Linked DNA regions of Xenopus tropicalis. The protein of the gene in region 1 interacts with the protein of each later gene in a pairwise test. Links are inferred from orthologs where the notes say so. Each region holds a gene or a part of one and is shown in the gene's direction. Other genes may lie near its edges. The genes, in order: rapgef4 and swap70.

Region 1 (4,315 bases):
CGACTCAAAATGCCTTTCCACTGGCAACAATAGGACTTGTTGGTGGAAAGGGCTATGTATCGCTTTGGGTTTCCATAGTTGCCTGCACAGGCGGCTCCCATTGTTGCTGGTGTAAAGGTATTTTGGAGTGGTTAGTCCCCCGTGATAGATCGCTGCTATCTCCTGCAGGCAACTCACTCTGTGGGGCATCAGCCTTACCCTATAAATCAGCAAGGTGATCAATCTGCTATTCCTATGCACGGTAATCTACTGGAAAAAGGGCTAGGTTGAAAGTCCTTTGCACAGGGTCAAAAAATCCCAGAACGAGTCCTTTTCCCGTTGAATCCAGTAGAGTGTTGCAGTTCTGCCAGTTCATGCATTTACCAGCAGGTTCCTTGTTGTATGGCTAAATCATAAGATCTTCTGCTTGTCCAAGCCATCCGAGTATCCTGTCCTGAGCTCCAGTTCCTGTTTCCAAGTTCTTGCTTCTAAGTTCCTGTTTATAAGAATAAAAGACCCGGGCCTAGGGTGGCACAAATTCAGGGGTGGCATGCCGGAGATCTCTATGCGCCCTAAGCTCCAGATTTAGGAGCATGCATGCAGTCCTGTGGGAGGGGTGGGGAGCAGCTGAGGATGCCGGCCTCTGGGCACCAGGAAGAGAAATCCAGTCCTGTTTATCTGCAACCCTCCACAACCTTGTGTCTTTTTTATAGACTTTGTTTTTTCTGTCTGCTCCTTACATTTCAACTAGGGTCCCTGTGATTCGATTTCTCATTATTAAACCATTGCTCAATGCAATTCATGTTAGTCCTCACAACTAGCTTAAAGGGCACCTGTCACCCAGAAATAGTTTCCCACACCAGAGGTTGGGGGAAACAATAGTTAGGGAAAAAAAATATTGCCCCCATCAGTGCTAGGCCACCTGCATGGGGAGGGCAGCCATGTTGTATAGCATGCATATGCATAACAAGTGAGTCTCCCTGCTCGCTCATTATGTGTAAGCATCTAAAGTAAACATGGTGGATGCACCTCAAAAGTTTATGTCACGCACATCCGCATAATGAGTGATTTGTGGCATATATATATATATATACAGTATATATATATATATACACATACATACCCACAAAGGAAAATGAGTTATTTTGCTCTTTGTGCCTTACAGTCATTAATCATAATATTAAAGCCATCTTTCCTGCTAGTATGCTATTTATTCTATTCATAATTAAATTAAACCTGCACACACTATATATATATATACATATATATATATAGCGAGAGAGAGCTGTACCCCTGGGGAGAGAGCACAGGCAGGGAATTAATGACTCGCTGAGCTCCAACAGGATGTGAATGTGCAGCACCAAATTGATCCGCCTGCCAGCTAAGCCAATAAAGCAAACCTATTTTGATATTTCTACTGGAAAAAGATTGTACCATATGAGTTACTGTAGCCAGTGCTTGCAGCACCTCAGCCCATCCCCCTGCCTTTTGCCTCTGTCTCCCTGTAGAAGAGTTGGAGCGGAGGCACTGGAGGAGGGCTGCAGCGGTGCTCGCATTGTGCTCTTGCAGTGTCAGTGGCATCCTGCCTGGGATGTGGTACATGTGATACAGCATCAGCGCTGCAGCCTTCTTCCTGGGAACTGATTGCTGGCTGCCTGGCACTCAGCTCTCTTAGTTTGGAAACTGACCCTCCCTCAGCACTTTGGGAGCAGAGCAGGATAATAGATATATTTTTATTTTCCCTTTTCCTTACAAGACTGAGCTGGCAGAGCTCCCATCATGGTGGCTGCACACACTGCCCATTCTACCTCCTCTGCTGAATGGATTGCCTGCTTAGATAAAAGGTACTCTCCCCTGCCAGACCCTGCATGCAGTGTGCGAGTGTGTGTACGAGTGTGTGTTTGTGCATGCTAATCAGCCTGCCGCAGGGAAGAATGCAACAAGGCAGCTCTTACATACAAGCATGCATTGTGTTCCATTCATTTTCAGTTAATGAATGGGGTATATGAAAATACTCAGTATGTATAACTCAGTATGTATAACCCTCCATTGTCACTCTCCTGTCTGCTTGTTCCTGGGGGCTGAGCTTTGCATTATTCATGCATGGAAAATCAATATATTCTTCATGAGAAATCTTTTGTAAGAGGAGACGAGCAGGGTCTAACATGCTCCATTCTGGCCTCTAGGCAGACAGTGTCAGACTGTCAGGGATGCTGGGTGTTAGTCTTGTTCTATGATATTGTGCCTGAGACCTAAAAAATCTTCTTGAGCAATATAAATGGGTACCACCCCCCAGCAGTTTAAAATAGTGGTATTGGAACTACTGCTCACAGTATATTTATAAAATAGACTGTGTGTTCTTGCAGTTGCATGCACTGCACACTCTATTCCTCAACCAACCCACCGGAGTCATTCTGCTTGGCCTAAGATCTCAGTTATTGGGCATTTGTCATTATCTCCAATATTTTTCTGATGAAGCCCAGATTTGGTCTAGAAGGTCATCTACTTGATCCAGCATTTACATATATCATTTTTAGAAATAGGAGATACTGACACCATTTCAAAAACCATATGTAGCTCATAATTTATTTTGTATTTAATTTCCAAAAACGAAAGACATAAAGCACCCAGGGCCGGAACTAGGGGTAGGCAAAAGAGGCACATGCCTAGGGCACAACAATAGAGGGGGGTAGTGCCAGGAAGGTACCTCTCCTGCCCACCACTAATACATGCTCTCTTGCCTCTCTCCCGCGATGCACTTTCCCCTGCGACATCACTGGGCATGCACGTGGTTCTTTACGCACACATGTGGGGGGGAAGGTGCAGGGGCCCGGTTGACTTGGCCTGTCCCTGAGGCTACCCCTGTGGTGGGTCAAATCAGACTGATCGGATTATTTGCCCCAGGGTCAATGATTGGATAATAATATAGATTATGCAGGCCCCTGGCGGATGGGGTTGTCACCCAATTGTATTTTCAAACCTGCCAGATAGATATCTGCCCCATCTGACTTGCCATATTATAACATTGAGATTGCCATAAGTAAAACCCATTATGGTGATCTGGCTAAGAGAATGAAGGCATTTTACAGTTATTAAGCCAGATCGCCACGAGTATTGGGTTTTAGCTGCAGCGATCTTAATGTTATAATATGACATGTCAATTTCGGGAGGTTTGTTGCCCGTGGTAGCGCAGACTTAATGCAGACGAACAAGTACTTTCAACTTAGGGCAGAGATCCCCAACCTTTTATACCCGTGAGCAACATTAAATGGAAAAAGTGCTGGGGAGCAACACAAGCATAAACAAAAGATCATGGGGGTGCAAATATGAGCTATAATTGGCTATTTGGCAGCCCCTATGTGGACTGGCAGCCTATAGAAGGCTCTGTTAGACTTTTACTTTTCTGTTTTATGCAATCAACACTTGCCTCCAAGCCAGAAATTAAAAAATAAACACCTACTTTGAGGTCACTGGGAGCAACATCCAAGGAGTTGGTGCACAACATGTTGCTCACTGACTAAGGGTGATGGCACATGGTAAGATTTGTTGCCCACGGTTAAATCTCCATCACCATAAGGGACAGTAAGGAGGTTATGTAATAAAAGGTACAAAGTTTGCCCAAGACCAGTAACCCATAGCAACCAATCAGCAGGTAGAATTTACTGGTCACCTGTTTAAAAAAAACATCCTATTGGTTGCTAGGGTTACTGCTCCTGGGCAATCTGCAGTAGGGCAGGTTCACTGCGGCCAACAAATGTCATCTGCCATGGCGCTAAGTCAGTAATTCTTACATCCTTTCATGCAGGGTTTGGTGGCCTCCAGTCACAGAGCATCATAATCCAATTGCCTAGGCCATAAAGCTGGTTCCTACATCTAGTTCTGGCCCTGCCTCTTTATTAATTTGTATGGATCTGGAAACATCCAGGGGTAATGCAAAGGGTTGCCACCTTTTTCTGTGACTAATACCAGCCTTCAGGTTGGGGGGGTGGAATGTGATGTAATTTGGGGAGGGGCTATGACATAAGAGGTGGGGAATGGGAGGGCTGGGTGATGAAAGGTTGGTTGGGCCAGTTAATGGGTGGGAAATGGACAGATTGGGCAGGGCTATTGGCAGAGGTAGGTCCATAGTTATAAAGGGTGATTGGCAGCAGAGAGGGTCAGGGAACAGAAGGATTTATATGACTTTACAAATTTCAATTGGAAATTTACCAGCTAGTCTAGTCAAATACCATCCAGGTGGCAACTCTAGTTGTGCAGAGAGCAGCTCCAAATTATTATGATTTCAGGACAGATATAATTCCTTATCACATTGGGGTCCAAATTAAGGAAAGTCCCA
Region 2 (3,823 bases), on another chromosome or scaffold:
ATGGCGATCAACGAAGTCTTTAACGAGCTCCTTCTGGACATTCTCAAGCAGGTAAGTCTATCCCAGCTTCTGCTGCTGGAGGTTTGTCCCATTTGATGCCCCTCATAAATAAGAAAGGTGGCGCTGGTCTATTACAGTCCTATGGGGACTGTCCGGTTTCAATATGTGGTGGAAAGAGGTACTGCAGTCCCTCTCAGCAAGTCTATTCACTCCCAAACATAAACCGCAACACCTTGGACCTTCCAGTTGACTGAAGCCCACCTTGAAGGCCACTTAGGGTGAGATTTGGGGTAAATATGGATTTTCTACCCTAGACATTCTTGGAACTATGACTAAATGACTGAAATACCAAGATTTTCCCATATCTGTACTTATGGGGGCCCTGCTATAGGCAAATAAATAGAGCGTTGAGGTTGGACTATAGAGTTGCCAGCAGCTTGTCCATGTTTTGGCTTGTGTAGGGGGTCAATATCTGCCCTGTGGGTTTATACCCGTGGAAATGGCCACCAACGCTGGACAAACTGGTTCTGATCAATTCAACGTATCGCCAGTGCCGTACCCCTTAGCAACCAGACCCATTTCCCACAATGCAAGGGCTTCATGCCACAAATGAGGGCAACTGGAAAGGGCGTCGTCCATGATTTTATTCCACCTTCATTTTTTTCCCCGCCACAGGGATATTTGTTGAAGAAAGGCCACAAGAGGAAGAACTGGACCGAGCGCTGGTTCGTGCTGAAGCCAAACATAGTAACGTACTATTGCAGCGAGGATCTGAAGGACAAAAAGGGGGAAATTATTCTGGATGAAAACTGCTTGGTGGAGGTAACTATGCTCACAGGGAAGGATGATGTTTAATATAAATTAATCTCATTGGCTGTAAGGCTGGTCACATGACAATGGCACATTCGATTTACCTCCCCCGACCTACTGTTGCTTTGCCCTACTGTTATAATTTTTTCCCTACTGGTGGTGTCTCATTCTACTGTTTCCATCGTGCCCTACTGTCTCCATCTTGTCCTACTGTCTCCATCCTGCCCTACTGTCACCATCTTGCCCTACTGTCTCCATCTTGCCCTACTGTCTCCATCTTGTCCTACTGTCTCCATCTTGCCCTACTGTCTCCATCTTGCCCTATTGTCTCCATCTTGCCCTACTGTCTCCATCTTGCCCTATTGTCTCCATCTTGTCCTACTGTCTCCATCTTGCCCTACTGTCTCTATCTTGCCCTACTGTCTCCATCTTGCCCTACTGTCTCCATCTTGTCCTACTGTCTCCATCTTGCCCTACTGTCTCCATCTTGCCCTACTGTCTCCATCCTGCCCTACTGTCACCATCTTGCCCTACTGTCTCTATCTTGCCCTACTGTCTCCATCTTGCCCTACTGTCTCCATCTTGCCCTACTGTCTCCATCTTGCCCTACTGTCTCCATCTTGTCCTACTGTCTCCATCCTGCCCTACTGTCACCATCTTGCCCTACTGTCTCCATCTTGCCCTACTGTCTCCATCTTGCCCTACTGTCTCTATCTCTATCATGTCCTACTGTCTCCATCTACTGCGGCCATCTTGTTCTGCTGTACCTATTATGAAGCAACACTGTTCTACTCTTCCTATCTTGCCCCATTGTCATCATCTTTACTGTAGCCATCTTGTTCTAGTGTTACCATATATCCCAAACCTGTCCTACTGTCACCAGGCCCGGACTATCGATTTATGGGTTCTGGCAAATTCCATAGGGGCTGCTGTAAGATGCTACAGAAAGTCACTATTTATTGGGCTGGAGGGGGGCTGTTTGGGCCTCTGGGTACTTGGAATGCCACAGTTTATTTGGACTCCCAGTCCAGACATGGCTACATTGTCCTACTGTTCTCATCATGCCTTAGTGTCTCCATCTTGCCCTACTTGTTCTACTGTTTCCTTCTTGCCCTTGTATCTGAATGTTGCCCTATTGCCCCACCCTGCACTACTTTTCCCATCTCTATTTACATCCTATAAATGATAATTCTTCTGCACCAGTTATTAAGGGTATTATAGTCGGGGCAACTGCCCAATGGGAACCTAAATGCTTTCTATTTCAGTATGTGCCTGTGGAACCAGATCTGGTTTGGGGGCTCTAGGTTCTCACTGCCCCCCCCCCCCCGGCTTGGGTTGGATTAATAATGTATAATCTCTTTAAACATCTCTATTTATGTCTTTGGCTCCGGCTTCAATAACTGTCAGGTCTCTTGTGTCACGTTAACGTCCCATTATCCTTTTTCATCTTCTCATGGATTATTCAGATGAACTGATGAACGCTTTAATCACAGTCCGGGGAGGCCGAGAGCTTCCTGCACACTCTGATTGGGCGTTTCTATCATATAATACTTGGGTTTCCATCAACTCCCTCTCTTTTTGTTGGACAAAGGAGCCATGGAGGGTATTGTGATGTCTCGTTACACCCAGCCCATCTCTTCTGACCTTACCAACGTATTCCACATAGCAACAAAGGAACCATCAGGGCCAGATTTGGCCCCCATGGAAACCAGAAAGACCGGAATAACCCTCTTCAATTCATGTCTCTTATATTTTACCTAGTCGTTGCCAGACAAAGAGGGGAGAAAGTGTCTCTTTGTGGTGAAATGCCTGGAGAAAAGTTACGAGATCAGTGCATCGGATAAAAAGAAGAAGCAAGAATGGATTCAAGGTGAGTGGTAAAACCAGGTATTGGAACAGGTTGGCCGGGGAAGTCCATGTCTTCTGATAATTAACATCCATGGCATTCTAGGGTGATAGTTCTCAGGTTTCTATGATGGGTCCAGGACTTATTTTCTATCCATAGGGGTATCCAGGTATCTAACAGTTACAGCCCCTGGTGTGCAACTAGGTCTGGTTCTACAGAAGGTATCCTACATCTTTTATCGTAGAGATGACACATAGATTGTCCAGTATTCAGAGCCATGGACCACCAGTGTCAGCCCTCTTTATTGAGTGCAAGTTTTTCAAAGCATCAAAGCATTCTCGTTTTCTACCCATAGGGGTATCTAGGTATTCAACAGTACAAACCCTGGTGCACGACTAGGTCTGGTTCTACATGAGTTGTCCTACATCTTTTATGATAGAGAAGACACATGTCTTTCCATAGACTTGTCCAGTATTCAGAGCCATGGACCACAAGTGTCAGCCCTCTTTATTGAGAGCAAGTTCTTCAAAGCATCAAAGCATTCTCGTTTTCTACCCATAGGGGTATCTAGGTATTCAACAGTACAGTCCCTGGTGCATGACTAGGCCTGGTTCTACATGAGTTATATCATAGAGAAGACTCATATCTTCCCATAGACCTGTCCAGTATTCAGAGCCATAAACCACCAGTGTCAGCCCATAGGGGTATCTAGGTATTCAACAGTAAAGCCCCTGGTGCATGACTCGGTCTGGTTCTACATGAGCTCTACATAAGTTGTCCTACATGTCTTTCCATAGACTTGTCCAGTTTTCAGAGCCATGTACCACCAGTGTCAGCCCTCTTTATTGAGAGCAAGTTCTTCAAAGCATCAAAGCATTCTCGTTTTCTACCCATAGGGGTATCTAGGTATTCAACAGTACAGTCCCTGGTGCATGGCTAGGTCTGGTTCTACATGAGCTCTACATGAGTTGTACTATATGTCTTACCATAGACTTCTCCAGTGTTAAGAGCCATGGACCCCCAGTGTCAGCCCTCTTTATTGAGAGCAAGTTCTTCAAAACATTTTCATTTTCTAATCATAGGGGTATTCACATATCTAACATGACTAGGTCTGGTTCTACAGGAGTTATTCTACAACTTATCATAGAGAAGACACATGTCTCTCCA

The links.
Region 2: the proteins of rapgef4 (region 1) and swap70 interact in a two-hybrid assay, tested with the Homo sapiens proteins (2 studies listed by BioGRID and IntAct). The link is inferred for Xenopus tropicalis from reciprocal best matches to the Homo sapiens genes RAPGEF4 and SWAP70.

Annotation. Positions count from the first base shown.
Region 1 is NC_030685.2:67,123,709-67,128,023, reverse strand, and holds the start of rapgef4 (rap guanine nucleotide exchange factor 4), read left to right. Parts: upstream 1-1,474; 5' UTR 1,475-1,758; coding exon 1,759-1,823; intron 1,824-4,315.
Region 2 is NC_030680.2:7,061,148-7,064,970, forward strand, and holds part of swap70 (switch-associated protein 70), read left to right. Parts: coding exon 1-51; intron 52-675; coding exon 676-822; intron 823-2,571; coding exon 2,572-2,680; intron 2,681-3,823.